Diceros bicornis minor: one gene and its partners. The main gene of each other region encodes a partner of the protein of the gene in region 4 in a complex. Links are inferred from orthologs where the notes say so. Each region holds a gene or a part of one and is shown on either strand. Other genes may lie near its edges. The genes, in order: CWC27, BCAS2, RBM48 and PLRG1.

Region 1 (7,110 bases), on a different chromosome or scaffold from region 4:
CTACTGCACATCAGCCCTCCCTCTTCAGATTCTGGAGTCAGGCTGCCCAAAATCAAATACTGACCATTCCACTTACGAAGGTAAGATTAGCTTCGTTACCTTGGGTGTGATATCTAACATTTCTGTGACTCAACTTCCTTATCTAAAAACAGGCATAAGCATATTCTCATAGGTTTGTTGCAAGGCCAAAATGAGTTATTATATATATGTAGACCACTTAGAACAGTACCTGACAAATAGGAAATGCTCAAAAAATGGTAGCTAGTATTGTTGTAATTATTATTCTCATACAATGTTTTTGGCCACAGCAAACTTACATCCAGTAAAAAGAATGCATACATGGTTGGGCCACCTTGTTTACCAGGGTTTCTTAATCTTTCCACCAAGAAGCTACTGAATTAAAAAAGAAGGCACACAGCTCCCTCCTTTCACCATCACTACTTTGTCAGGCGTCGGTGGCTCCTTTTCTTAGAGCTCCCAAATAAGACAATACTTTGATAATAAAATGCTTCTTAAGAATAAACACATGTTAATATATAATTTAGATTAAATGATCATAATATGTGGAGATTTCATCTCCAGTGGATAAGGAAATTTCTATCAAGTGGTATATTTCTGTGCCTCATCTTCAGAGGCCAGAGTTATAGCATTACAGCAAAACACAGCACATTTATGGACAATTGCCAGGGGTCAACCACTGGTATAATACGTCAATTACTTCCCAAGTTGACACTATACTCTTTGAAGGGAGGAATTTTGTCCCATTTATTCTGAATATCTCTGTATCCTTTCAGTACCTAACGTAGCATTAGACACCACAGGTACTAAACTAACATTCATTGAGCAAGCTTATTATATCTGTATTAAATTCATTCCAGGCCAAAATTCTTGCCATACTCTCTATAGTACAGAACTTTGAAGCTTCAATGTCTTCAATCACCCCTCAGCTGGAAAAAAGTCCCAAACTGTGCTTGAAGGAAAATTTGGCCTATGTTCTCCTTCAGCCCAATTCTGTTTAGAAGAAAGACTGTATTGATCACAGTTTGCACAGACTTATTTGCATGATTATTCGGTCAATGTATACTTCACTCAACTGACTCCATGATAATAGAGACAATGCTGGTTTTTCTTTCCATTGTATCCCTAAAACCTAGCATAGATCCACATGAGCTAGGCGCTCAATAAATACTTGTTGAATGAAAGATCTCCTGTTCAGGCATGTATCTTTGTTAAAGCTTTTTATCTTTATGACCACCTCAAATCTTCCTCCAGAGTAAAGCAACTAAGTCTGCCCTTGACCAGCAGCAGTATAACCCCAAAGTCACTGATGTTTAATACTTCTCAAAAGTTAAGAGAAACATAGTATTAATTCATCCATTCATCCATTCATCCAGTACATATCTGAACTCCTTCTACTATGTATCAAGCACCCTTCTAGATGCTGGTCTCTGCCCTCACAGTACTTGCATTTTATGGGGGCAGGTGGAGGAGACAATAAACAATCAATAATAAGTACTGCAGAAAAAAACTAAAAGGGTTTAGGGAGCCAGGGAATGCTGGGATGCAGGAGATGAATGAGGTTTGCTATTTCATAGAAAGTAGATAGAAAAGGCCAGGGCCGGCCCCATGGCTTAGCAGTTAAGTGCGTGAGCTCTGCTGCTGGCAGCCGGAGTTTGGATCCGGGCGCGCGCCGCTTGTCAGGCCATGCTGCGAAGGCATCCCACATAAAGTGGAGGAAGATGGGCACGGATGTTAGCTCAGGGCCAGTCTTCCTCAGCAAAAAGCAGAGGATTGGCATGGATGTTAGCTCAGGGCTGATCTTCCTCACAAAAAAAAAAAAAAAAAGAATTCAGGTGATATTCCTTCCACTACTTAGTTCTCTGCCTCATACTGCATATAAAACACCTGGGATGGGAATTGACATAGCTTGACTGTCAAATCAATCAGGAAATCATTCTAATGTGGGAACATTTCCCATTCCCCATTTTCTCTAACAATCATCTCATGTTTTAAGACCAGCTCAAAAGATACCTCCTCCATGAAGTTTTCCCTACTTTCCCAGCTGCTCACTTCTCCGTAATAGCACAGCAATGTGCTCCTCTCTCCATAAGCACACCTACCAGACATATCCTAAGGCTTTTCTTTACCTGCCTGCCTCCCAACTAAACCATAAGCTCTTCTAGGGCAACAACTAGACCTTATCCATCTATATTTGTATCCCCAGAACCTAATAAGTGCCCGGTGCCTAGCTGGCGTTCAATAAACGGAGAAAGAGCCATCTCTAAGTTATGCGAAAAATGTCAAATTTTAATTTGTACTTAGGTTTTTACCTAAGACTCTAGAAAACACCTGCATGAGTTAGGTTAAAGCAAGAAATAGGGCCAGAAGGCTGGTAGATGGAGAAATCAATCTTCCCTTGAGGACTTTTTCAAGTATATGCTGAGAAGTGCCAATAGATGGTTTCCAGGCAATCCTGTTCAGAGGCAGGGGTAAAAACAAGACTTCTTGTGATCTCTCACAACCCTAAGATCCCAGGACTCCCTTCGTCAGTGAGGTATCACTTTGGGGAGCCCAGGTATCCCAGACGAGGCTCTCACCTTCCCGTTGGTGGGAGGCTCCTGGATGTAGATGTTGCTCATGCTGGTCAGTCCTCAAGACTCTGCTCTCAATTGGGGATGAGAGCGGACGGCCGATCACTAAAGCTGTCCACCTATTAGTACAGGCTTCCTTAAGTCGGGTGGTCGCGGAAAGCTCCAGTCTGTCAATATCCTGCAAGACAGCGACGCCAAACGCTATCTTTTCCCTAAGCTAGCTCCTCACGGGCGCCGCCATGTTGTTCCCGGACCCGAGCACCGCTAACCCTGAGAAGGGGGATTCTGATAGCCTCCAAGAAAGGAGAAAAGATTATTAAGCCGCTGTAGATTAATTTAATTTCTATTACAATTTTAAAAAGAACGATCCGTTAAGTCTTGGTGTTGTTTACTTCACTACATGCGTGTGCAGGTCTCATTCACCTCCCGAAGCTGGCAGTAATGGTTCGGACCGTGAGTGAGCTGCAATATGCGTCCCCCGGAAGCTGGATCAGTGGTTACTTGGTTCCGCTATCGCCAGAGAATTATAGGGGCCCCCCCCCGAACTGTCATCTAGGAGCCGCGGCGCGGGTGGGAGGAAGAGGCCGCCCTAGCTGTGCGTTGTCCTCACGGCCGGCGGGAAGCGAGCGCGCTCTCGAAATCCTAGGGCTCCTGCGACCCCTTTCACAGCGCCATGGCAGTCCCAGGTGACGAGCAACGGCAGGCCCCGGGGTCTGGGCGAGGAAGGGAGAGGGCAGGGTAGGTTGGGGCGCGCTGGACCAGGGAGTGGCGCCCATGGGGATTTAAGCGGAGGCGTTAAAATTAACAGGTTCGTGTGGTTTACGTGAAAAAGTTTACACTCCGGAAATAAACGCGGAAGGAAAGAAAGAAACGATCTCCCCTGCGCCAGCCAAGCTCCAGTTGCGCTGGATGGCTTACGGGGCCGGTGCGTCGTGGCGGAGGGAGGGTGGCATGGGGAGGAGAGGGGGACGGTAACCGTAGGCCCAGGGGCCGGTGGCTGAGAAAGACCGACCCCAGCGGCCAGAGGCATTGTTTGTAGTGCAAGTCGCAGGGACGAGATGGGCGCCTGGGGTTCTTCTCTCTCTGCTTGTTGCATTCAGTTGCTGTGTGGCCGTGGGCCGGTCGCTTTGCCCTTCTTGGCCTCAGTGTCTGCATCTGTAAACGGAGATTTGTTGATTTATGTCTCTGGTTCCTTCCAGCTCTCAGATTCTGGGTCCAGTCGGTACTGACTTAAAAACAGTGAACCCTGCGAAATAAGTGCCTGAGAGATTTCCCGTCCACAGCAACCGGCTTACTTGGAAGTTCTAGAAGGGGAGGGCATCTCCTTAAACCAGCTTTGCCGCGATGTGTTCTGCAGAACACTGGTTGCAGGAGATAGTTTGAGAAATATACACCCCCCTCATTTACTGCCCCCCCAATCTTGTTTTAACCTGCCCTTCCCGGTATTATTTGAGCATGTTTGTTCTGTGGCAGCCTTTTCTGAACCGTATTTTACAGATAGCTGTTATGGGAGGGTTGTGCTTTTCTACCAACTGCAGTTTGGGGAGGAGCACGGGGGTGGGGGGGAATTGTGAGAGAGGAAAGACACACTCATTCATACACATAACAATCTGTGTTAAGTGCCTACTGTGTGCTAGGCATTGGGAATACAGTGGTGAGCAAGACACTTGCTCTTCACAGAGAATTTACAATTTGGCTGTAAGGAGAAAGTACTAGAAAGTCAGACAAGTGTATGGTAGGGAAAATACAAAGCTTTCAGGAGCACATAGTAAGAGCATCTAACAGGAGACAGGGAGTGCACAGAAGGACTTTCCAAAGGATGTGGCATTTAGGATGAGACTTGAAGAATGCAGGAGGGGTGGAGTGGTAGGAGGGGAAGTTGCAGCCAGAGGGACTAGATACATAAAGGAAGAAGAAATGTGTGAGAAGAGGAAATGAAGATGTTCCTATGCATGGAACTCAGAGTACAAATGGGAGAGAAGTGAGACATTAACTAGAGAGATGATAACAGTAGCTAATATTTACTAAACATTTACTATGTGTCAGATCTGTCAGATACTGTGTCATGCATTGTATTTCATCTAGTTTAATATGCACACCCACACTGTGAGATAGATATTAATATTTCCATCTTACAGTGAGGATACTGAGCCTCAGAGAAATCAAGTAACTTGCCTATTGATACAGCTAGTAAGTAACAGATCAGTCTGGCTCCTCTAGACCCCACGTGCTTATCCATTTTGCCCTGTTATAGTGTCATTTACATGGTAGTTTCCAGCTCTTAATGGACCTTGTAAGCCATAACAAAGAGTTTGGTCATTTTCCTAAGGACCAGGGGAAGTCATTTAAGGTTTTTAAACAGATTCACATTTTGGAAAGATCATTCTGGCTGCACAGTAGGTTGGAGGGGAGCTAGTTTGGATGCACAGTCACCAGTTAGGAGTAATTCTGGTAAGTTACAATGATACCTCAGGTACAGTCTTAGGAAGAAAGAAGCAGATAGACTGGAGATATATTTTTGGTGGTAGAATCACTAGGAATCGGTGGTGATGTAGTCAATGTAGGTGAGTACTAGAGGAATGAGGTATTACCTGGGTTTCATTGTTAGGCAATTAGGTGGGGCTATTTACTAACATAGGCAACACCTGAGAAAGAGCAGGTTTCGGCATGATGATGATTTCAGTTTGCGCCTTGTGTTGAGGTATAGTCAGACATACTAATGGAAATATCTAATAGACAATAAGGGATAAAATTTGTAGCTTAGGAAAGAAGCCCGAGTCAAAGAACAATTTGGTGTCATCCACACATATAATAGGAGTTAAGTCCATGGGAGTGGATGCCTTTGCTCAGGTAGAGTGTGTAGAGGGTGAAGGGAAGGTCTGTGGCTGAAGCCTGGAGAATATCAACATGGAAACGGCCAGCAGGGAAAGGCCAGTCTGCACAGTAGATTGCCAGATCAGCCCTGGTGATCTTTGCCTCACACAGCTGCGTCCGAAGTTGACCTGCTGTCACTGTTGGTTTCATGACTTAAGCATTTTGAGCACCTACATGGTATAGGCACTTTCGGGGACACAATGTCATGGTCTGTGCCCTCATAAAACTTGTCTGCTAATGAAAATGTGCTGCTTAAGAAAAAGGACAAAAGTGATTTTTTTGTCCTTATTGAAATTCCCTTAAACTTAGACCAGTGTTATAGTTATGTTAACTTTCTTTCAATTCAAAATAATGCTTCAAAGTATAATAATATTAAATTGTGCCATTAAGCTAGATGGCCAGACATAGATAAACTGTTTAAACCCAGCAAAAATTGAGATAATAGGTATGACAGCGCTGTAAAAGTACAATGCGAGTGCCATTAGAAAATATAGATATGGAAAATATCAAGACAATTTCTTGAGTGATCGATCCAGACAGTGTATTAAAGGAAAATGGGGCTCCATCAGAAACATTTTGAGATAATCATCAAAAAGGACAAGTATTATGTTATGCTCTTTTATTTTTAGGTATAATGCTCATATGGATTCATCATGGCATTTTGTGGGTGGTCCTGCTGGTGATTATTACAAGGAACAACTGTAAAGTAATGAGGCTGCTTTCCACAAATGGGAATCAGCCTTGTCTGTTTTATGGTCACCTACTTCAGCTGTTTTTGCACAGAATTGTGTGTCAGCTTGCTCCATTATGTAGGTAACACAACGAAATGTGTGTTCTCTTAGAGAAATCAGAGACGCTTAGTGTTATTAAAGAAATGACATCTAAACACAGATTTCAGCAAAGTTTAGTTTCTTTTAAATACTGCTTTTCCCATTCACAACTGTTGAAATTAGTTCTGACATTCATGTTAATGATTCACCATTCCCCATCAAGAGTTGACCTGGCACAGGTGGCAATGGATGTTACTGATGTGGTTGGCGCAAAAACTGTTTTTCTCTCCTTCAGTGAAATCTATATAGCCAAGAAAGGGAATTTTCTACAGCCAAATTAACATTGCATCTGACATATCAAAGTGAGTCATATTCTTAAAACACATTACTACAGCATCTTAGTAATCGAAGAATTCTAAATTACACTACATCCATTTTACTCCTAAACTATACTATACATAATTTCTTTTCTCTCTAGTCTATGCTGTACGTTGCTGCTGAAATAATTTTCCTAAATCATGTTTCTGATTCCTGGGAGGCAGGAACTTAGTTCTTGACCCATATCTGTGAATTTTGTATTTCTCTTCAACCGGCATAACCTTTCTGAGACTCAGTTTCCTTGTCTCTGTAGTGAAGGAGTTGATGACTAAGCTTTCTTTCACTTCTAACCTTCACTTCTAAGCTCCACATCTCTGCAAGAATGAAGTGCACCCTCCTAGGCATGGCCTCATCGCTCTTGCTACCCTTTCCTCCTGCCACTTTTCTCGTGCATTCTACAATCTTTTGAATTGGCCAGCTATGCCCAGAACCTATCCTATGCTTTTCTACCTACGCTCTTTTGTTATCACTGTCCCTCCTTTACTGTTCGTATCTGG
Region 2 (7,521 bases), on a different chromosome or scaffold from region 4:
AAGTGTTGAGAACCATGGTTCTAAGTATTCACTGGGGGTAAGGGAAGAGAAGAAAGGACTTGGACATAAAACAATTAGTGTTAGGGCTATGAGCCTAAACTTATACTTTCTTTTTGGTTCAGGCTGCTATTTTCACACTTTACTCTTTGCAAAGAATGGAGAAGGGGGGAAGAGACAAAAGGAACTGGTTCTGCTAGCTGCTCTAATAATTTTACTATTTTCAAAAAATGTGGTATAGCTCAACTTCTTTAGGTCCAATGTTTTGGTCAATATCCTATTCCACAGAGTTCTGCACATTTCCTGCCCTGAGAATACAGAATTGCTTAAGTGAAATATTCATTTACGGTATTATCTTAGTTATCTCATGTAATTTTAATTTTTCGAGGGATTCAACTATCTTAACAATTAGACTAAAGAGTAAGCAAAAAAGGCCTTCTGGAATCACACATTCCTTGTTTAAAAGTTTTGCATCGAGCATTTCTTATTGGAGAAAGCCTTTTTTCGGACTATTGTTGAGTTACATGTAGCTCTAGCATTCTAGCTAGAAGGCTATGTACAGTAACAGAAACGGAGTAACAACTAACAATTAGATAAGAAACTATAAAAATGCAGTACAAGCAGTCTGGAGCCATGTAACACAGGAGCCCTTACTTAACTCACATGGCCAGTACGAGACAGATCTGGAATTTTAACTCAACTCTCTCCAAAGACTGAGCCAACACTCATGGAGCTAAGTCATGAAAAGAGCTCTGGGCATGTCTGGCACACAGTAAGCATTCGTTAAATAAAACTGTCTTAGAAGCTCTTTGTACGTTCAATTGATAAACATTTAGGTGCCTATTGTGTGCCATGCACCCTTCTAAATGATGATGATACAGTGGAGAAGAAGACAAAGAAGATCCCTGTCCATGGAGCATTCTCATCTCAGAGAGGTCTTCCTCAACCATCCTATCTAAATAGTCACCCAGTCACTCCAAATCACATCACTACTTTACAATCCTCTATATAGCTTTATTAATAATCTGATATTCTTTGATTATTTGTCTGTCTCCACACTCTAGAATATAAGCTCCATGACTATGGACCTTGCCCATCCTGTTCCCCAATACCTGGCATAGAATAGCCCTTCATGAATAATTGTTAAATGAATTAAAAGAAGAACAGTTTCAAAGGCAGTTTGAAGAGTGGTTAAGGTCTTAAGCAAATTAGTTACCCTCTCTCAGCTATAGTTTCCCTTTTTAAAAAATTGGGATAATACACATACATAGTTCACAGGGTTGTTTTTAGGACTGAAATAGTAAGCCCAGTACACTATTAGCTCCTACTATTAAAAAGGGTTACATAATCAGTATACTAATTATAAAGATAGGAAGCATGCATTGTATTTAAGAGAGCTAAAAATGCTAAAACTGATTCAAATATTTATTTATTTATTTTTTTTTTAAAGATTTTATTTTATTTTATTTTTTCCCCCCAAAGCCCCAGTGGATAGTTGTGTGTCGTAGCTGCACATCCTTCTAGTTGCTGTATGTGGGACTCGGCCTCAGGATGAACGGAGAAGCGGTGCCTCGATGCGCACCCGGGATCCGAACCCGGGCCACCAGCATCGCAGCGCGCGCACTTAACCACCAAGCCACAGGGCCAGCCCTGGTTCAAATATTTAAAAGTTTGTGATTGAATGCAGTTATCTGAAACTTTCAGAAATCAATCTAATAAGCATTACTGTGCTTAGTTCTTAATGTGGTAATGACTATAACTAGGTAACAACATTTAGAAAGAGCATGGGAAAATACCGTATCATAGCAACATCTCTCTCCTACTTAAAACTTAACCAATGTTTTTTCACGTTACTTCAACATAAATACTGCCTTTTTTTTTAAATTTACTTATTTGTTCCCCCAAAGCCCCAGTAGATATAGTTGTATGTCATAGCTGCACATCTTTCCAGTGGCTGTTTGTGGGACGCGGCCTCAGCATGGCCGGAGAAGCGGTGCGTCGGTGCGCACCCGGGATCCGAACCCGGGTCGCCACCACCGGAGCGTGCGCACTTAACCGCTAAGCCACGGGGCCAGCCCTAAATACTGCGTTTTAATAACAGCATTCTTTCATAAATAAATGGTTACCTACAATGGGGAAAAAAACCCAAACATGTATGTACTAAAATGTTTACCAGAATTCACTAATTTAGAATTGATATTTTACACTTCATTTAGCTGATTAGACCCTGAATAGTATCTTGGGTGCACTTAAACGCCGCCCTCCAGTGGTTCTCAAGAGCTTAGGCAATGAGACTTACATATATTAAAAAACCCTAGATCATTTGTTTTAGAGCGGACCTTAGAGAGTAAAGGATCTCTTCGAGAATTTACGCAAGGAACCCATCTCGGAAAAACGTACACACTAATTTTTGCATTGTTAGCTTGTTGACAGCTCCAGAAAGTCCTTCTGTGGGTCTCAGAATAAGAACCCCAGAAGAAGCTTATCTAACGGTTTTCAATGCGCTGGTGATACCTTATAACAGCGGAAGTAGTAGCTAAGCAAGCAATAGTTAAAGCCGGAATTTAAAATTCACTTTTACGTGGCTAAGGCTCTCAACCCAAAAGAACGATTCACAGGATCCTGGTTCATACGCTGGGCTCAAGACATCACACTTACTTCAAAAGCAGAATAATCCGGGGCTGTCAGGTAGCTCAGGTAGTTCTTAGTAGGTCGGTATCTGCGAGTTTCCTCCTCTACCAGCGCCGCAGCCTAAAAAGGAGAACAGGGACCAGGGTACAGCCAGCAAATTGTAAGGCGCCTCTTTCAGCACGAAGGGTCAGCGAGCGCTGAGTCAGCAACACAGACACCCCCGAACTCACCGCTTCCCGCACACCGGGCGCTTCATAACCTTGGTCAAAATACGGCAGGGCATCCACCACAACTTCTCCGGCCACCAGACCAGTACCCGCCATTCTTGAGCTCGCCTGGGCTTTCTGAGTCGGCGCAAACTCAGGCCCACCGAAATACGCCTGCGCCCATCACCGACGTAAAGCACGTCGCCTGGGCAGTGGCTTTGGCGCATGCTCAGTTGCTAATGCCGAAGGCACGCTCGCCCAGGCACTAGGAATTGCCCGGCCATTTTGTTTTGGTCGGACGTGACGTCACGACATGGTTTCCTAGAGTCAGCGGAACATCTCAATTTCCTGTCTCCGCACGCTCCACTTTTTTGCTTCCGACTGGCAGCAGTTTGGAGAGTAGTTAAGACTTTTGGTTTCCTCCAGAACGCTGATACCTGGGAGGGGAATCCTTTAAAATTTCGGAGGGAACTGGCTGCAGGATTTGGCGGGAAGAGAGTGTTTTCTTACCTCGTCTTACTCCCCTAACCTTCCGCCTTTTCCCCTTAAACTTCTCTTACTTTGTGCCAGGCTTCTCTCTCCTGGATTTCCTTGGTGTACTTCCACTATTCTTCGTTCTCGGCGCCCAGAGAACCATCGCATTGGATAAGTGTAGTTCTTTCACAGACTCGAGAAGTAGGCGCCAGTCTCCAGTTAAAATTTCGAAGCTCTGGAGTCTGCGTAACAAAAGGAACCAGATCTACCCCCAGGGCGAGATTGATAACAGCCCACCAACCCCAACTTTTCAAAATCCTGTCATTTTATCTTCAAGACGCATATCAAATCCAATCATTTTGCCTTTAAGACTTCCAGCAATAGAATAGCGCTCCGCATTGCCTCCCAACCACCCATGCTGCTCCCGGTGCACTGTCTCTAGTCGGTGGCTCCCAGTATATATATATATATACTATACATAGTCGGACTATATATATACCCTGCCCGGTGTGCAGTCCTAGACCCAGGCTTTGTCTGTCAGGAGCCTGGAAATGTTGGCCACGGTTATTAAGTCTGGTTAATCTAGACTCGATTTGGGTTATCTTTTAACCTACCATTAGATAAATGTGCTAGCTGTAGATTTAAGGGAAGTAAAAGATGTCTACATTTTATGCAGTTTTATTTAAAATTCTCCAAGAGATCCATGGAATTTTTGTGTTTATTCATTAAAAGATCTGTAAACAACATTTTATGCAAATCTTGAGCAATTCTTTTTACAAACATGTCCAGAATTCATAACACTTCACAAAAACAAAATAAGACAGGCCTAAGAAAAGGAAGCAGCTTCAGATTGCACGGATAAAATAAGACCCCCATCCCTGAAGCAAAGGTCCCCTCACATAGGGTTGGCCAGGATCTACCATAGTAATACCTCCTACCCCCATTTTATAAACACTCAATTCCCAATTACTAATTGTCCCCTCAGGGTTGGAGTGTCAGAAGAGACCAAATGGGGAGATGTCTGGTAAGAGCCCCACTGGGGTAAGCTGCTTAATAAACATTTTTTAAAAGACATTGGCTCAGTTCTATTTTCTGGACCCACATCTATAGTAACTATAATATACAGCACCAGTCTTAAATGATGTCTGCTTTAGATTCATTCATGCACACCTGAACGGGTTGTAATGACAACACTGTACAAGTCAATAAACTGATCATAACGCAACTTGTAAGGTTTTGTTAAGTTTGAATAAATATTTTTTATGCCAGTTAAAACCATCAGCAGGAATTGAAGAAAACAAACTGACACTTGCTATAGAAGAAAACAAACTGACACTTGCTATAGTATTTATCAATGAAAATTGTACCATCACTGACAAATTCCCCTTTCCAATCACTACTACTTCTTTAGATAGATATTAAGGGTCGGCGTGATTATGTCATGTGTGCCCAGAAAATATCCATATTCTGAATCCAATTTAATTAGAGCAAAAAGTCCACCGAATCTAGGGGAACCAAAAAAGAGTCTTATCTAGGCACCCACAGTTTGAAGTCCCTAAGAGTTGCCTCTGGTACACTTCGGCTTAAAAGAAAACTTTTTCAATAGCTACATAATCCCACAGAGCTCACATTTCCATCTGCAGGACTAACCAACTTTCTCTGTGTTCATAAACTAGTAGTCCTGGCTTCAGTTCTGGCTCTGCTGTATAACTTTGGGCAAGTTATTTAACCTCTTTGAATTCCAGTTTCTTCATTAGTAAAATGGAGATGCAAATATCTTATAAAGTTGATCTAAAGAATCAATAAGGTGACACACATACATATACCATAGTGCATGGCACATGGCGGACACACACACACACAAAAGGTAGTTCTCATGCCCTTGAAAGGACATATTCTTATTAGCTATAATTCCACAAAGTTTAATGTTGACACGTAAGGGACAAGCTACTCAAGTGCCACACAATGTGGAGGAGCTGCAAGATGTCTACTTGTATAAGATACTCAGTAATAGTGCTAATAAATAGGGCTTCTGCATAAGTGAAATTCCCCTAGACAGAACATTAGACAAAAAAAAAAAAAAAGGATATATATGATGAGTATATTCCTTAGCTCAGCTCAAACAGCCCATAGGTTTAAAGCTGCCATGGTGTTTCAGTGATGAGAATTATGTGTGTAGGGCTAGTATTCTCCACTTCTAGCATGCCTCTCTAGGACCTTAAACTCAGCATTTCTCTCATTGTGCTCATCTTTGAGCTATTTTTTTAAAAAATGCAACACTAAGTCTTTCGCTTGTAAAATTCAAGTGCTTTCATAGTCTAAGCACAAAACACAAAGAATGAACCCAAGAATCAAATACTTAAAGAAAATCGGAGGCAGAGTAGAGACAGCATTGGTTCCAGATTACTCCCAACAATTCTCCAGTGATTACTACGGCAGCAACAGCAGAATCCTCCTCCAAGAACCTGGCCCACTTGGTAACCTTTTCAACTTTCAAGGATTTTGTAGAATATTTCACGGCATCCTGACTTTCTGAAAATATTTTCTTTGGCATTATCTGTTCTATTTAGGATGGAGATAGTCAATCAAAGATTTCATTTCTTCTGCAGAAATTTCATTTTACTTCCTAAAAGGAGAAAAAAGTAGAGTGAACTCTCATTAGTTTGTTTTTATTTATTGTACATTATTTGAGGCAAGAGATTAACAACCTCGTCATTCAGAACAGCCCAGGAATAAGCTGCCATCTCAAGCTATCAGCTGTGTTTAACCACCAAAAAAAACTCTGCAAGTGTCTAATTGTAGAGGTGGAAGAGAACTCAGACATCATCTAATCCAGTGGTTTTCAACCCTAACTGTAGGTAAAATCACTTGGCCTGCTCCCCAGAGATTTCTTGGACCCAGGGGGAGCAGGGTGTGGGGGGAATGATTTTTATTTAAGCTCCCCAGAGATTATAATATTGTAGTCAGAGCTGAGTACCACTGATCTTATCTAACCCCGTGGTATAAAGATGAAATAACAGCCGAAGTATAATATGTCCATGGTCTCTCAGCTAGTTAAGGATAGGGCCTAATTTTAATTAGGGAGATATATTTCAAAGACCAATATAAATATCATAGAATATAGGTTCTTCATGTTTTGGGCTACCACACTACTGTTCTCCTATATCATACTAGATAATTAAAAGTTAACTAAAATTGAAAAATCATAAAGTGTTTCTTTATGAAGTGTAAAATTACAGACTTGCAGGAAATCCTTTTGCCTCAGACTTCCTTTATACCAGGTGTTTTTGTTTTGTTTTGTTTTTTGCCGAGGAAGATTTGCTCTGAGCTAACATTTGCTGCCAATCTTCCTCTTTTTGTATGTGAGCCACTGCATGGCCACTGACAGACGAGTGGTGTAGGTCTGTGCCCGGGAACTGAACCTGGGCCGCCGGAGCAGAGCACACTGAACTTAACCACTAGGCCACCAGGGCTGGCCCTAAACCAGGTGTGGAGTCCATGGATGGGCTTCAGGGGGGGTCCATGAACACCCTAAATTTATATGCAAAATTTGTTTGAATGCTCCAAGTATATTTTCCTGGGAAAAAGGTCCGCAGTTTTATAAGATTCTCTCAGGGATGTGACCTAGAAAAGAATAATACTCATGATATGCAAATTCTTATATCATGAGGGAGGTTTATCTGTGGAAAACAGCCCCATGGACAACTCTGATGGATAATCCCAACCTCTGAGAAAGAGACTTCTTTTTTCCAAAAGACACTTTGGAACTAGTGTCATGGTTTCTGGTCAACCTACTTGAGGTTACATTGTTGATCTGATTATAAAGCTTTTGTGATGAGGCATGCTTACTGCAAAAGCTTTTTCAGCCACATTTATCTAACAGGAAAACTCAGCAACTCACCAAGACTCCGCAAAATTCTATTCACCCCACTGGGCTCAGATTCAGGAATTGTTTCCAAATACTGGAGGGCCCGGACCTCAAACAAACCTACAAGGAAAATTCATGTTGGTGAAATTGTCCAAAACTCAAGACTGAAAATCAACTAAATGAAACTCTGGTCTCACTACCAATGTACTTCCATAGCTAAAATAATATTACAAAATAAATATTTCCCATAATAAACAACTCAGATTTTGAGCCCTTGTAGCTTTATGCTATTTTTTATTTATATTATTTTCAAGCCTTTCAAGTGCTAAATACAAAGGGAGAACT
Region 3 (7,691 bases), on a different chromosome or scaffold from region 4:
TGTATGATGCTCACTTATTCTTCTGGGCCTTTAAACATGCTACCTGGCCAACCTTTCCATCTCTTCCTCTCCCCTTCTGGGTAATATCTCCCTATCCTTCAAAACTCAGCCACCTCTTTCGTCCTGTAGGAAGTCTTCCACCAAGCAGCCTCTCTCTCTTCCCAGCCCAGGTTCTGCAGACTGCTGCACAGAACTCTGTAGTTTACAGTTATTGAATATTGTGATCATTTACTTGCCTCTCTTCCCACTAGACTGAGAGCTCCATGATGATATACCTAGCAGAGGCCCTGACACATAGGAGGTGTTTAGTAACAGGCTTTCCATACCTTTATTGTTAGTAGTTCTTGCTACATAAGCCTTTCTTTCTTGTAATTTTTTTCTAGTTTCTTCAACAGTCTCAAATTCTGGAGCGTAACACACATGAAGCAATCCACCAAAGAAACTCTGTTCATCCATTTTCCTCTTGGCTATCCTAAACAGAAGTACATGATAGCATGGCTGATTAATCTAGATTTACTTAGGATGAAAGCTTAACTAGTATACAATGCATTGATCTAAAGACCAAAGTCCAGCTTTTGCTATGTGTATGTACATCCCATGGTTTGGGGATTAAGAGGCTCTGCTTATGGATGGTATTGACCCTACTGATTCAGTGTATACTCTTAGAGCCTTCCCTGCCCTCTCCCAATAGTGTTAACAGGTTTTGAGCTAAGTCATCCACACATATCCAGACTCCTTTTAACCAGCTCAGGATCCAGCAGTTAGCCGGAGGTACACAGTCTGTGATCATGAAATAGAAATCTTCTCTGTGTTAAGTTAAATGGCCCTTCAGAGTTAGCTCATACCCAATTTAGCCTTTTCAGCACAATGTATTCCTATAAAGGGATTCATATATAAAAAATTAATTAAAATACTGTAATTGTAAAGCTTTCAATAATTGAGGAAATATTGAATATATAACTAATCAACGAGAAAATGAGAGAATAGTATTCATTCAACAAACACTTATTAAACAACTACGACTGGCCAGGCACTACTATAATAAATACTTAAGTACTTATATGCCCAGGGATAACGAAAAGAAATACTTACAGAGATTTTACCATGCACCAAGCAGTGTCCTAAGTGCTTCACTTGAATCAACACTTCACAACAACCCTATAATACAACTGAGGACTGGGGAGATTTATAACTTGGCCACACTCACATTAGTTTATGGACCTAGGATTCAAATCCCAATGTTGAACTCCACAGCATACTGTACTAGGTGCTGCAGGAGATACAAAGAAAAGGTAATTCCTTAACCATGAGGAGCTGGCAAGCTGGTTAGGGCAGTGAGATTACATATAAGAGCAACCTGAGAACAATACATGATCCCATCAAGTGTTTTTGTGGCAGACTACAACTGCTATTTGTAGCACAGAAAAGAAAATATTAATTGTAATAGCCAGGGAAGGATGGGTGTTGGAGCAAATCAGTGACAACAATAGAGGTATACCTAAAAACAGACAATGCATTTCATACTTCAGCCTTGTTGGAACAGAGAGTTCATGTTACACAGAAGGCTGGAAAAGATGGGGTCCATCCTCATAGGCACATAACAATAAGAACCTCAATAGCTAATGTTTATTGCGTTCTAAACAGGAGGCACTATGCTAAGCCTTTTATAGGGATTATCTCATTTCATCTCCACACAACCTCAGTAAGTAGGCCCTTTTACCACATAGATTTTAGAGAATAGGAAAAACAGGCTTAAAGGAATTAACTTGTCCAAGGTCATGATGTTAGTAAGTAGGGGAACTGGAAAACTTACTCCAAACCCAATTTTTAATCTACACACTACACGACAGAAAACTGCTATGCATGGGAATGACATGATGGAAATAGTTTTGACAAGGCTAACATTCAAGAAGAAAGGAGGAAGATAATACAACAGGGCCATGTTAGGTTATTGGGTAATTCAGGTATGAATAAAAGAAACCTTGGGCCAAAATGATAGCAATGGAAATAGAGGAAATGAGACACTGCTTAACTGGCATATTACCTTGCACTTTGTAAATTCATAAATTTAATAAGATAAACTTCTGTAAAGTCTTCTGCTGGATATTCATCTAGAGCATTATACTGTTCAATTGCACCATATAGAGCAAATCGCTCAACTAATTCCTTCATCGCTCCCACTGCAGGAACTCCTTGTATTAATAAGTATCGAGATTCCAAATTGACTGTATATACCTAAAAGAAACGCAGACACATTAAACGTATTTTCTAAATAAGCCTAGGACAAATCTGCTGTTTTTTAAAAAAGCTTTGAAAACAACAAATACTCTGTTCAGTCGGTCTGCAGGAAACAAATCAAAAATTCTGCCCCTCTCTCTGCATAAAGAATAATTCAGCCCACGTGTGAGGGCCTCTAACTAAAGCACAGACAATATTCCTTCGACATGTATTCCAGAAGTGGGCTCCGTAGAAGTTACTGGAAAGAATTAACAAATATTCACTTGCCGTATGCCAAGTACTACTGTAAACATGGAAGATACAGTGACTAAAATAAAGGCCCGTTCTCGCGGAGCTGACGTTCTAGCAGCTGACCAAAAGGGTCGTGAGAATCTTCGGTACCTGAGTACCAGTGTTACTCATACCCATCTCCAATGAGTGACGGATATGACCGCAGCCTTTCAAGCTTTTATTTACGTAAACTAGGCTTGTGGAGCTAGAGCTCACATAAAGTTACCGAGGACAGCGAAGGAAACCAAAATCACTTTACCTTGACAGCGCGAGGCCGTCGCCCCTCCCGATACTTGGCCCTTGTGTCGCATACGGCCCGCTGGACGTGGTGGTCGAATACGCCCCCAAGCTCCCGACCACTCGACGCCATCTTGCCGGTTTGGGCTCTTGCAAAGACGACAACATCCGCCTCGCCGCACTGCCGTGTATCCAATAAGAGAGAGGGATAGGTCAAGGCGTGCCGGGATTGGCTAGAAATCGACAGCGGGGGGCCATCGTTTCCTGCGAGCGAGGACTCGGTGCAAGAGGTGCCGCCCCCAGCGGCGCGGCGGAGAGGCGCGCAGAGCGGCACAAGGCTTGCTTGGCCGTCCCCCTAGCGGAGCGCGGCGAGAGGCGCCGCGGGCACAGGGGGCGGGGCGATCGGCCGCCTCCGGCTCCGAGGCGCTCGGCCTGCCCGGGCGTCCGGCGTCAGCTGGCGTGGGCGGCCGGGGCCTCCGGGCTTGCTGACGATGTGGGGCAGCGATCGCCTGGCGGTTGCGGGGGGAGGCGGAGTGGCCGTGACCGTGGCCTTCACCAACGCTCGCGACTGCTTCCTCCACTTGCCGCGGCGCCTCGTGGCCCAGCTGCACCTGCTGCAGGTAACGCGGCGGCCCCAGACGAGGTTCCCAGCCCCGACTCGGGGCACCTAGTCGGCAGTCTGGGGTCGGACGGGGCCGAGGTCTTGCAGGGACGCGGCGGCCGCTCAGGCCTCTCCCGGCCGCGGCCGCGGGCTGCCTTCCCGGCGCCGCCGAGCTTTCAGAAGCCAGTCGGAGGGCCCCTCGAGGGCAGGGCCGGTCTGGGCAGTGTCTGCAGCCCTCTCCATGTCCAGTGCAGCCCCGGGTCTTCGCGTTACCTTGCCTCATTCCAGGTCTTTTCACTCGGTGAAACTGGGCTTTCAAACATCCTAATATTCTACCTCTGCCTTCAGATATCCTCACTCCAGGTTGGAAAAGCTCTTGAGAAGTCGTTTTTGTTTTTGTTTTAAATGTTTTCCCCGGCAGCGATTTCCAGGTGCCTGCACTGCTGTGGTCCGGGCCCCCGGGGGGGAGTGGTGTGCAAATATGTTCGCGGAGCCCCTGTAGGTTAACAGGGACTAAGCACGGTGTCCCGTGAGCGGGATAGGTTAATAAAATGAAGGTTCTTCTCTGTGTCTCCAACACTCAGAACACCTCCGAGGGGTGCCAGGAATGTGCAGTGGGATTATGCATATTTGGATGTATGTAATTAGGTATACTTGAACCTCTGCTGTCAGTCGCCCTGGTGGACGTTGTGGTGGTGGTGGTTCATACCTCTAACCACTGGTGGAGTAACATCAGCCTATTTTCATAATTAAAACTAGAGGCACCTAGTGTACGAGTTTGAGTGTGCTTATGGGGACAAAAGGATAGAATATTGGAAATCCTCGGAAATCCTGGATGCATGGTATCCACCACTGGCTAATCCATGCAGGAAATATTTAAGAGTTTGCAGTAATTTCAAGTATCCAACCTTTCCACGTTAGCTACTTCCCCATAACTATTTTTCTAGATTATTGCGCCCCCCCTCCCTCCTTTTAGAGCATACCAAATTCAGCAGATCCTTCCGTTATTTCTTTTACCATAAAGTAGACGATCTTTTGGCCCTGATGAGCTTCCTTCATGGCTGGAAACGAGTTAGTTAGTGGCAGCAAGTCTCAGGTGGACCCTGCCCCGTGCTCTGGGCTTTGATGGAGATTTTCAACATGCCTTCAAATCCCCACCTAACCAGTTTATAGGAATAGACTCCCCACCTAATGAGTTTATAGGAATACTTCTTTACAGCAACTCTAATAACTTGATCTTAAGATGTGGATGCTCTGTTACATTCATCACTATTTAAGAATTTAGTGGTCTTGATCTTTCTTTTAAATTTTGACCCTTTAATAGTTATTCATAAGGGCCGGCCCCATGGCTTAGCGGTTAAGTGTACGCGCTCCGCTCCTGGCGGCCCTGGTTCGGATCCCGGGCGCACACCGACACACCGCTTCTCCGGCCATGCTGAGGCTGCGTCCCACATACAGCAACTAGAAGGATATGCAGCTATGACATACAACTATCTACTGGGGCTTTGGGGGGAAAAAATAAATAAATAAAATCTTTAAAAAAAAAAAGTTATTCATAAGAATTAATTCATGGATCTCTTTTGAAACTTAAATCTTTTCTGCCTTGGAATGAATTGTTTTTTCTATCCAGCCTACATCAGCAGAATAGGCCAACTTTTCTCCCCAATTATAAAATTAATACATATGTTTCATAGAAAATTTAGAAAACAAAGAAAATTATAAACAAGAAAATAAAAGTTACCCATAATCCCCAAACCTAGAGGTAACTAATATTAGCAGTTTGGGCCACATCTTCCAGTTTTGTTTCTAATCTTTATTTTTAACGAAATGAAGTCCTACACACACACGCATATACAGTTAAAGGTAATCATCATTTTTAGTGGTTAATTAGTATTCTATCATCAATTTGCCATAATTTGTTGAATTGTTCACTGTGATTAAACATATATGTTGTATTCAATTTTTAGACATTAAAAGTGATACTGTAGTTACATTTTAATAAAAAGTTAAAAATAGGGCTGGCTGGTGGTGTAGTGGTTAAGTTTGCATGCTCTGCTTCGGAGGCCCGCGGTTCATGGGTTCGGATCCTGGGTGCAGACCTACATGCTGCTCATCAAGCCATGCTGTGGTGGCATCCCACATACAAAGTAGAGGAAGATTGGCACGGGTGTTACTGCAGAGACAATCTTTCTCACCAAAAGAAATAAATAAGTAAATAAAAAGTAAAAAATAGCATATCTTTGTTTATAAAACATTGTTTTCACTTCTGGTTATTTAGGTTCTCAGAATTATTGGTTTAGAGGGCATAGATAATTATTAAAGCAGAAAGTCACGAGTTGGGAGTTAGTAGGTTGAATTATTTGGGCTAAAGTATTGAGTACATAATACACATAGTGCTGTAATGGTAAGAGGGTCAGAACAATGGTTTTCTGGCCTGTGTGAGACTTACCTTGAAGCTTTGAAAAATACAGATATTCTGGCCCTTCTGTAGACCTACTGAATCAGAATCTTGGGAAGTGGGCTTCAGGCATCTGTAATTTTTAAAATATCTTCAGGCTACTTGGATGCACAAAAGAGTTGAGACTCACTCTTCTAGAATCATAGATGTTGGTGATGAAAGGGACCTTAGGTGTCTAGGTCATTTCTGTACACATAAGGAAACTGGCACTCTCAGGCTGGTACCATTTGCATGCTGTTAATTTGCCATCTTGTCTAGAACTCACTCTGTGTCATTCAGACTAGCCTTCTCACTTCTCACCCAGCTCTCTTCCACTTCTGTACTCTTACTCACACTATTCTTCCCCAAAACATTTTTCCTTATTCCATGCTGTTAAAAACTGAGCGTAATCCTACCTCCTCCACATAGCTTTCAGATTCTCTCTTGCCCACATTTGTCTCCTTTTCAGAACTTCAGTGCTGTTTATGTGACACATCTCACTTGTTACACTCTGTTCTGTGTTTCAAGTATTGTCTTCTTTTGTTTATCCAAGCCTTTGTTTCAGGATTAGGTACGCAGTAGATCCTTTAACTCAGGATTTCGTCACTTTGGCACGGTTGACATTTTAGGCTGGATAATTTTTTGTTGTGGGGGCCTGTCCTGGGTATTGTAAGATAATTAGCAGCATCCTTGACCTCTGTCCACTAGATGCCAGTAGCACCCCTCCGCCCAGTAGTGACAACCAAAAATATCTCCAGACGTTGCTAAATGTCTCCTGGGGATCAAAATCACCCTCAGTTGAGAACCACTGCTTTAGGTCGGTTACTTTGTCTGTACTCTGGGCTCACTGCTTGCTCTAATTGCTAACGGGGGAAAGGATTTGTATCCATGCTGAATGCAAACAAATGAACCTAAATCGCCATCCAGAAATGGCCGGGTATAGATTTGTCATTTCCTTTGTGTTAGCAAGAGATAACCCAGGCCTCAGACCTGGCCAGGTACCACAGTGTCTGGCCACACACCCAGTTATGCAAGGAGTGTGAAATAGGTAGTGAAGAGACCAGAGAAAAGACCTGGAGACGGCGTACGAGACATATAGGTTTATTGGGACTTATGTATAGGGAGTGTCCAGGGGCAGCTGGCTGGACAGAGTTGTGCACCTGCTACTGTGGGCAGAGAGGGGTTGTTTATATAGGCAGGGGACAAAGTCTATGTGCTTGCCAAGAGAGACTGCCCTTGGTGCAGCCAGCGTTCCCTGGAACAGCAGCTCACGTGGAAGGGCTCTGTGTTCCTTCAAGACATGATGTTCTTTGAGTGAGATCTGGGTTGGCCAGGCCATCCCAGCTGGTTGGCGTCCTGCCCAGGATGGGGCCAGGAGGACACAGGATTGTAATAGGGCACGTAGGTTATTGCTGAGCAGGCAAAGCCCTACACACAGGTTCGGGCAAAAGCGGGCAGTCAATCATTTGTTGATTAATCTCCTGGAAAAGAGACTCCTTTCTCTCCAGTCTGTTTGTTCCTCCTCTCTACCTGAGTGCCCAGGGGCTCTGTGGTTCAAGTGAAAAATTGTTGACATAAAAATGGACTGAGGACATTAGTCTGCAAAGTTTACTAAATCCCACTAAACATGTGTTATGACTTGATGGAGCTGGTTACTACATTTTGACCAAATGAATAATTGAAGTATTTTTCCTGTTTAATAAAGTTGATTTTTCCTTTTTCCAGTGTGTTGGTGGAATTCTCTTTTTTGATATTTCAGAGTGTATTTCATATTTCTTTATTTAACCTCTGGTTTTAAATGTTTCTTCGTATGACCTGAGTTGATCTGGATTAGACATCACTGACTCTGAGGAAGCCCCTTGGAAAGCACCTGGAGGGTTGGTCGCCTTCACTCTTGTGACCTCAGCT
Region 4 (7,938 bases):
TTCTGCTATTATTATACTACCACTTTTTTATGTTGTATAAGAAAAAGTCCACCAACCAATAATCTCACTCACTACTTCAATGAGGAAATCTAGACTTCCATTATAATACTGGTACAGCTATTAAATAGAATATGGCTTTAATTAATCCTGCCAGGAGGGGCACTAATAAGACGTTTCACATTTCTATTTTTAAAATTCACATGTAAGTCCTGACATTTCAGACAACACCATACTCACCTTGATTGGCAGGATACTGTTTATGACCATACGAATCTGATGTATTCTGAGGGCCCTTTTCTTTAAAATTTTCTTTTGAAGTAGGCATATGCAACACAGGACCATACTCATTACGCAGCTTGATTGCCATTTTTCGTTTGTGACTATTTAAAAATTACAAACATGAAGAATGTATCTTTGAGTACTTTAAACATACTCACCAATGTAAATATACTCACAGATAGCCAGGAAACAAGTACTTAAATAGTTTAAGTTTGCCTAATCATGTAGAAAAAGTTTCTATTATGATTTTAAAGTTAAAGAGATTTTAAAAAGCTCAAAATTTCCAAGTGCATTTCCACACTTTTGTTCACAATCCACCACTTAGCATTCATTAAGTCTAAGTAATATTTCAGTTTGTTAACCAATAAATATAAAATCTTTCATGATGAGTTATCAAGGGTCTGATTTAAAAATATATAGAAACTAATATATCCTTTAAAAAAACCTCAAAGTCAATAAACTTTCCGTCAAATGTCTAAATATAAAAATATAGTAAAAGCTTCCACAGAAATGTTTACTGGATGTGTATCTAAAAGAGTCAGTTAGAACTAATCAAAGTACTTACTTCAATATTTTAAAAAGAAATGCACTTATTATATTACTTTTAAGAATAGTCTACCTTATAAATTATATATATATGCTTGTTTGAGGAACTAAGCAGATTTTAATAGAAGGTAAAGGACAAAGAAGGAACACTGCACATAATGCAATCCCAGACTGGAGCTGGAGATGTAGAACCAAAAATGTGCCACCACTCAAAAATCTTCACCATACTAACGAGAAAAGATGGGAGTAGAGGTACTGGCCAGGTACAATTTCAGCTCAGCAAGGCTCTGAGAGCAGCGGGAAGCTGAAAGCACATACAAAGTGATTGATTATAAAATATAACACCTAGAAGGGACTCTCCTAATTACTGGGTATTTGTAAAATGCAATTAATTAATGGGAGTTTTACTGTAAAAGATAAGGCCAAAAAAAGTTAAATCAGCATAAATTATGCCCAAACACCACTCATTATTGAATAGATATCCTATGTTAGTATTACTCACTAATCTTTAAAGTTCCCCCTCTCCCTGCTCTCTTCCCCCAATATTAGAAGTTTAAATATTCTAGCAATTGAAAAGGAACTACACCTACCTCTCTTCATCCAAAGGCACAGGCTTTCCATTATCAGCTACAAACATGTCATGGGTCCTCTTCAGTGACCTGAACACAAGTGTGTGCACAGAATGTTTCTGTACCTCCTAGAAAGAAACAGTGTAATTATATATCTAGCTACAAATTACATACATTGTAACCTAAATTAAAGTCAAATTAGTTATACACGTTACATGTTAAAATATGTAAAAAACTTCGTACCACTCACCACAGCTATTTGCAGCAAACTATAAGAGTCAAGTTCAGGGAAGAGGAGGAAGCTCCTCTTTGGCCAGAGCCCCAGGTATACCAACTGAGTGATGCCTGAGATTAGTCATTTACTCAATAAATATTTACTGAGCTCCTACTATGTGTCTGGCAGGTACTGTGTTAGAAGCTACCAAGAGAATGATGAAAAGGCAGTCATGGTCCCTGTGCTCAAGAGGAAACAGACAAATAAAAATAAGCAAAATAACTCCACATTTTGATAAGTGCTATGAAGGAAACAAGCAAGGGGCTGAGACAGAGAACAGAGGAAGAACTTAGGATAGTTATGAAAAATCTCTCTGAGGTGATATTTAAGCAGAAAGAGGAAGTCAGCTTAGCACAGAATAGAAAACAATCCAGGCAGAGAGAAAAGGTGATGTACAAAGGTATTCAGTAAATGAAAAAATGCCGGGAGCTGTGCAGTTATATATGTTCGCTGGGAGGGCGGGTTGTGATGCAAGATGAGGTTACAAGGGTAGACAAGGTCCAGATCAGGTAAGCTTTTTTAGACCATTGCAACAATCTGTAATTTTGCTCTAGTAACATAAGGCCAGTAAAAGGTTTTAAGCAAGAAAAGCATGACCAACGTATATTTTAAACAGATTAATTTATGGGGGGAGGGGAGTACAAAAATGGAAGCAAGGAGACCAGCTGGGAGCTACTGCACCAGTCCAGGAGAAAGATGATGTTGGTCTGAATTAAGGTGACGGCAGCAGGTATGGACAAGAATCAAGAAATATTTCTGAGATAAGACAAGGCCTGCTAATAGAATGGTTGTTCAAGCTAAGGAAAACTGCAAAAGTTTAAGAATGGCAGATTTTCCTGGGGAAGGGCTGAACTAAGACACAATGTGAACATCAGAGACGACCGCCAGTCTCTTGGGACACAGAATCACTGACACTACCCCGCAGGGGGCGAGTACCCGCAGTGGAACATCAACAGAAGTCCTGCCTCCGAGGACAGTGCCCAGGTCCAGTGCCCAAGGATCAAATGAGGACGGGAGGAATTATCTCAGGCTTCCCGCCAGGACGGAACCTCCAACTCGTGCTCTCATCCAGCCTCTCCCACCTGAAGAAGAGACTCCCCGGCCTCGGCCAAACAGGCTCCCCTCGCAGCCTCTACTCTCCCCAGACTCCCAACACCCTCGATCCACAAAGCCCGCCGCCAAAGAAAACCAGTCCAGAAATAAACTACTCCTAACCACCCAAGCGTCACTTTACCTCCACCATGATGCTGCTGTGTATCTCGCTGCTCCCGCAGAAAAGAAACACTAACCAACGCAGAAACCGCCGCCACAACTGCACAGCCCCTTCCGGAATCGGGCGCCCCAGCGCCGGATGTGACGCAACTCCGTGCACGCGCGCTATTGGCCCACAGGCCTTCTGGCGGCGAGAGGCGGGTCTTTCTTCTCGGGCCGCCTCTAGGGCGGAGTTTCGGGACTGAGAAGCGGAAGCTACTGGAATGTATGGGTCGAAGGTTTTACTCTCCTCTTTGAAGAGTTTTTGAGACGACGGTTTTTTTGCCTTACTCTCAGCCTTAATTGTTTCGGTTTAGGGGTGTAGTTTGTGCTGTGTTCCCCAGAGATTAATGCTTTTTCTTCATAGAACCTCAGGAATCAGTTCTAGGTCTGGAGAGAGCAAACCTCCATCAGCCGTAAGGCTTTTCCACTGTCTTGCCCTCTTTGGGGGTTGCCTCCGCTATTTATGTCGCCTGACTTCACTATTTGGCTAAACTTGACTGGACGCATTTGGACGCCTTTGTAGCCTTAATGCCTAAAAACAATCCCACTGACACTGTCCACTAAACACTTGTTGAGTGAATGTTGCAGAATAGTTGTTTCAATTTGAGAAATTTTGTAAAAGAATTTTAACAGCATATGACAAAATCCAAAATTTATTTTCCACTAATAGATTTCTTTTCCCTAATCTCTCAGAACTGCATAACTCTTGGCTATTTCCTAGTTGTCTGCTGATTAACGTGGCTTCAACAATGCCAGGGTATAGCTTTTCTGGTGTAAGAAAGATACAACTGAAGACTTCCGCCATTTTTATTCATACACATCCTGGTGCCCAAGTGTTGGTATTTTGCTTTGTTTCCTATCCAGGTAAACTCTGCAGTTTGTGATCAATCCTGTCCGATTATTTTTCTATGTAAAAACAAAAATTGATGGAGTTGAACGTTTGCAAACTTGAATAGACAAACATTTCACTGGATCTGCTTGTTCCTTAACCATAACCAATTCAACTCATCTTGTCCCCAGAGCATACTGCATATACTTTATGGGGGGGAAATTTATCAGAAGTATAGCTTTGTGAATTGATAATCTTATTTAGAAATTTAATACTTTTTAATTCATTGAAAACATTAAGGTCATGTTTCTACTTGAAAAATACAGCCATCTCTGATTTTGAGGGTGAGTTTGGCTTAAGAAATGATTTTCTGTAACTGATTTTCTGATGATAGGCCTTGGCAAGGAAATGCCATAATTATAAAATATATACTTGGGAAACTGAATCATATTGTAACTTACCTATAGATAGTAATAACTATACAAAAGAACATGATTTTAAATAGCAATGAAGTTATAGAAATGTAAGCAAGATTCTAATATATCTAAGGCAATATAATAACTATCTAGTTGGGCCTATTAACTTGTTAGTTAATCCTGAAAAAAATTTATAAGCCCAAACTCATAAAATAATTGTAATAATTGAGGTAAATTGCACTAGATTATGCTCCTTTTAAAAAGCTCTTGTGAATCTACAAAATTATATTATCTACTTGAATGTTTTGGATAGATAGAGCTTAGTGACCCTAGTTATGTCAGGGATCCATGAATTACGTATATTGTAATTCATGTAATTACGTATATTGCAAATTTTTTTATATATATAAAAACCTGAATTTTTTTCTGGTGAAGAGATCTGTAGGTTTCTTTGGATTCATAAAAGGATCCAGGAACCAAAACAGGTTAAGAATCCCTGTCCTGGCAGACACCGAGAGCTGCCTTATTTGAGCAGTAGGGGTCACTGCTGCTCTTCATAAGAGTAGGAGGATTGTCCCCAGAGCAGGCATGGTGACTAATTTATTAATGTAAATATTATTAAGTCTATTTGTGTGAAAACAATAGTACAAATTTTAAGGAAGTCCTCCTTTCGTTGGTTAAGCTACTTTCTTTTACTCATCAATACAGGCGATCTCTTTATTCTCTTTCAAATGCTTGTATCATTTGCCCTTGAGTAGTGATAGGTCACATAAGTGAAGATTTCAGTCATTTTCATCAGCTTTTTATCAGATTTTTTATAGGAATAGTTTTCTGATTTTTATGCTGATAAAAATGATGAATATTATTATTTCTTCTTACTGTTTCTCTCAGCTTAGAGGGTTAAATATATAATCTTTCTTAGACACTACTCTATATATCATATTCTTTAGAGTTGTTTGGCTCACTGAGTCCTTTTTCCCATGAATTTCAGATTTGCAACTCCTCACTAATTTAAAAGGGAGGAATGGTGGAAGTTATCATTTCTTTTTGAATTCCTGAGGTCAGAACCTGTGAAAAAGAATACTTGGGCATTTCTTCCAGAAGTTTGGTCTTTGATTGCTTATTACAATGCTAAGAATGGACCCAGATGCCGAGGTAGTGTTGGTAAGTGCTTTTTCGCAACACAGTTGAGAAGAAAGCTTCTGGAACTACAGGAGACAGTGAGGGAGCTATTCTTCCAGCTAATGCCTGGCAAGGCCCGGGACATGATTAAGCTGCACTATGAGTTATAAACTTCTTAGCAAGGTGTGTGTGTGTGTGACACAGAGAGAGCGAGGAGGGAAATGTTGCTTATCACAATTTTGCCTTCCTCTACTTTATGAAGTCCCATCCATGTCACAAAAACAAGTATCAAAATTGAACATGATCATGACTCATAATTTGTCTTTGTGTTTCTATTTTGCAAAAATATGTCAGTGTTTATGCTGACAGAGAAAAATAGCGGTGTGACATTTTCAGTTTTCTTGGCTGAGTTCATACGCTACCATGTTTGATAGTATATTTGTTTAATTATCTGTATTCCCCAATAGACATATGGGGTCAGTATGGTGTGATATTCATTATTACACACTCAGTATCTAGTTGACTTGCAACTGGTAGGCTTTCAATATTTGTTGAATGATTGAATAAGTAAGGTGTTAAGTTTTAGACACTTAAATATGGGGATGGAAGGTGTTGAGACCTTAATTTTGATGTGGGGTTGCAGGTATTAAATCTGTAGGAAGGATGTTGTGTGTGTCTGGATATATATGGTATGTGCTCACCCTTGAAAAGATGCTACTATTTCAACAACCATTAATTTAACTTAACCCTTATCTGTGTGTAAGGCAGTGAATTGCTTGTATGAGGATGGTCTGTCTTTCTGATCATTGTAAATTTTATTAAAATGAAATATTTTTCATTGTATTTAGGCATGTCAGTGCCAAATTTTATTTAGTTTATATAAAAGTTAATTCTGACATTAAGTTATCAGATACTAATTTATTGGTAAAAATATATCATTTGCAAAAATGGGTTTAGTTGGCAGAAAAACTTCTTGACGTCAATAATTAAGAAGATTAAGGCATTTTGATGGTTTGAATATTTTACTATTATAATTTAGGCATTTTTAGGCTTTCTTTTAAAAATATACCACCAAAAGCCAGCATCAAGTTTATAGATTAACATTAAAAACATTCTCATTAGTCAGCCACAAAACTAGAATTCCTGCTATTCATCATTATCGTCCACACTTATTTTTTCCTGAAAGTACTAGTCGTGCAGTTGGATGAAAGAAGATGTAAGCAGTATAAAATAGCAATAATGAAGCAAAGCTATCTTTATTTGCAAACAGTATGATGGTATGCCTGAAAAAAAAACAAACAAGAAATCAACTAGAAAAACTACTGGAAATAATAAAAGGGTTCACTAAGCTATCTGAGTACAAAAAAAATATTCAAAAATCAAGCTTTCATATATGCAGTTGAAAAATATAATAGGGAAAATATCTTATTTAAAACAGCAATAAATGAAAAATATGCAAGACCTAGGTTAAAAAAACTTAAGGGACATAAAAAAAGGTTTGAATCAATGAAAATGCATACTTTTTTCTTGGATAAGAAGACTCAAAATTATAAATATGTATGTTATGCCATTAACCTAATCCTGAGCACATTTTACAGAAAATATTCTTAATTCAAGAAATAGTTATTAAATACTGAAAGATTTTTTAAATGAATGTTACTAAAATACTCCAAATAAAATAGAAGTTTTCATTTTCTACAGAGTTTTACTGCTGATGCTATATACTTACTGTATAAAAACTTTTTGTGATTTATTGCAGTTTGAAAATACAGCTTCTCTTTCTAATGTGCAATTTATGCTTTAAAAAAAATAGTCAGTCTGAGTCTTAAAAATTTGATCTTGATTTTTCTTTTGGATTAGTTCAGCAAACCCCAGAAGCATCTCAGCCTAACTCACCAAAAGATAACAGGGACATAGGTACTATTAGGAGGACATCAGGTGTCTCACAGGTTTGACAGAAGAATCAAATGATCACGTTTAGAAGTTTTGGTTATTTCTGCTGCTGGAGTTGGTAGACTTTCTCTCTAGAATGCTGCCATGAATATGACATGAAGCCAATTGACCTGATTCTCTGCTTATTTCCTTTGCAAACATTAAATTGGGGGAGAGAAGCCGGTAGGGTTGGCTTGGTACAGGGTCTGCCCATAGCTCAGTCACCTATGGCTCGATGGTAAGGGTATCACAACGTGAACAGGACCACTGGAGCCCCACTTCTGCATTTTAGGGGTCATTCCAGGGGAAGGGAGCAGCGCTCCAACAGGTGTTGATTATACCCTTTGTGGATTTGAGTCTCAATGTGACAGAAGCAGAAGAGCAACTCTGTGTTTTCTCTAGCTCTTGTGATCAGCATTAGGTTGAAGGAGAAAATGTTCTATTTTTCCTTTATTGCCAGGCTCTGTATTGGATCCCTTAAGAAAAGCAAACTGACATCTTTCAAGTCAATAGAGGGAGACACTCCACAAGACACAGAGCTAGCTCCTACTCTTCTTCCCTGCAATATGCCTTCCCATTGCAGGTGGCTAACCAATGACAGCATCTCCCCTTGGATAGTGGTTCTCAAACGGGAGCTCAGGATAAGAAAAGAAAAATACACACAGAGACCAACAACGATTTAGTATAGTTTTTCAAAAGCTGTTCCTATTTAGACAA

Evidence for each region.
Region 1: PLRG1 (region 4) and CWC27 share a complex: the UniProt entries of both Homo sapiens proteins name them as parts of the minor spliceosome. The link is inferred for Diceros bicornis minor from reciprocal best matches to the Homo sapiens genes PLRG1 and CWC27.
Region 2: PLRG1 (region 4) and BCAS2 share a complex: the UniProt entries of both Homo sapiens proteins name them as parts of the PRP19-CDC5L splicing complex. The link is inferred for Diceros bicornis minor from reciprocal best matches to the Homo sapiens genes PLRG1 and BCAS2.
Region 3: PLRG1 (region 4) and RBM48 share a complex: the UniProt entries of both Homo sapiens proteins name them as parts of the minor spliceosome. The link is inferred for Diceros bicornis minor from reciprocal best matches to the Homo sapiens genes PLRG1 and RBM48.

What each region holds. Positions count from the first base shown.
Region 1 is NC_080759.1:12,125,615-12,132,724, forward strand, and holds the start of CWC27 (spliceosome-associated protein CWC27 homolog), read right to left. Parts: upstream 3,016-7,110; 5' UTR 2,640-3,015; coding exon 2,598-2,639; intron 1-2,597. Other genes in the region: protein SREK1IP1, read left to right, coding at 3,265-3,277. UniProt on the Homo sapiens protein: As part of the spliceosome, plays a role in pre-mRNA splicing. Probable inactive PPIase with no peptidyl-prolyl cis-trans isomerase activity. As a component of the minor spliceosome, involved in the splicing of U12-type introns in pre-mRNAs.
Region 2 is NC_080743.1:47,233,660-47,241,180, forward strand, and holds the start of BCAS2 (pre-mRNA-splicing factor SPF27), read right to left. Parts: upstream 3,002-7,521; 5' UTR 2,952-3,001; coding exon 2,859-2,951; intron 2,749-2,858; coding exon 2,656-2,748; intron 1-2,655. Other genes in the region: DENND2C (DENN domain-containing protein 2C), read right to left, coding at 5,903-5,934, 7,210-7,296. UniProt on the Homo sapiens protein: Required for pre-mRNA splicing as component of the activated spliceosome. Component of the PRP19-CDC5L complex that forms an integral part of the spliceosome and is required for activating pre-mRNA splicing.
Region 3 is NC_080742.1:29,967,018-29,974,708, reverse strand, and holds the start of RBM48 (RNA-binding protein 48), read right to left. Parts: upstream 3,005-7,691; 5' UTR 2,879-3,004; coding exon 2,768-2,878; intron 2,236-2,767; coding exon 2,045-2,235; intron 1,282-2,044; exon of another isoform or gene 1,107-1,281; coding exon of another isoform or gene 1,093-1,106; intron 473-1,092; coding exon 327-472; intron 1-326. Other genes in the region: peroxisomal ATPase PEX1, read left to right, coding at 3,237-3,365, 3,635-3,709. UniProt on the Homo sapiens protein: As a component of the minor spliceosome, involved in the splicing of U12-type introns in pre-mRNAs.
Region 4 is NC_080750.1:42,618,175-42,626,112, forward strand, and holds the start of PLRG1 (pleiotropic regulator 1), read right to left. Parts: upstream 3,003-7,938; 5' UTR 2,912-3,002; coding exon 2,903-2,911; intron 1,523-2,902; coding exon 1,416-1,522; intron 1,130-1,415; exon of another isoform or gene 1,058-1,129; intron 381-1,057; coding exon 238-380; intron 1-237. UniProt on the Homo sapiens protein: Involved in pre-mRNA splicing as component of the spliceosome. Component of the PRP19-CDC5L complex that forms an integral part of the spliceosome and is required for activating pre-mRNA splicing.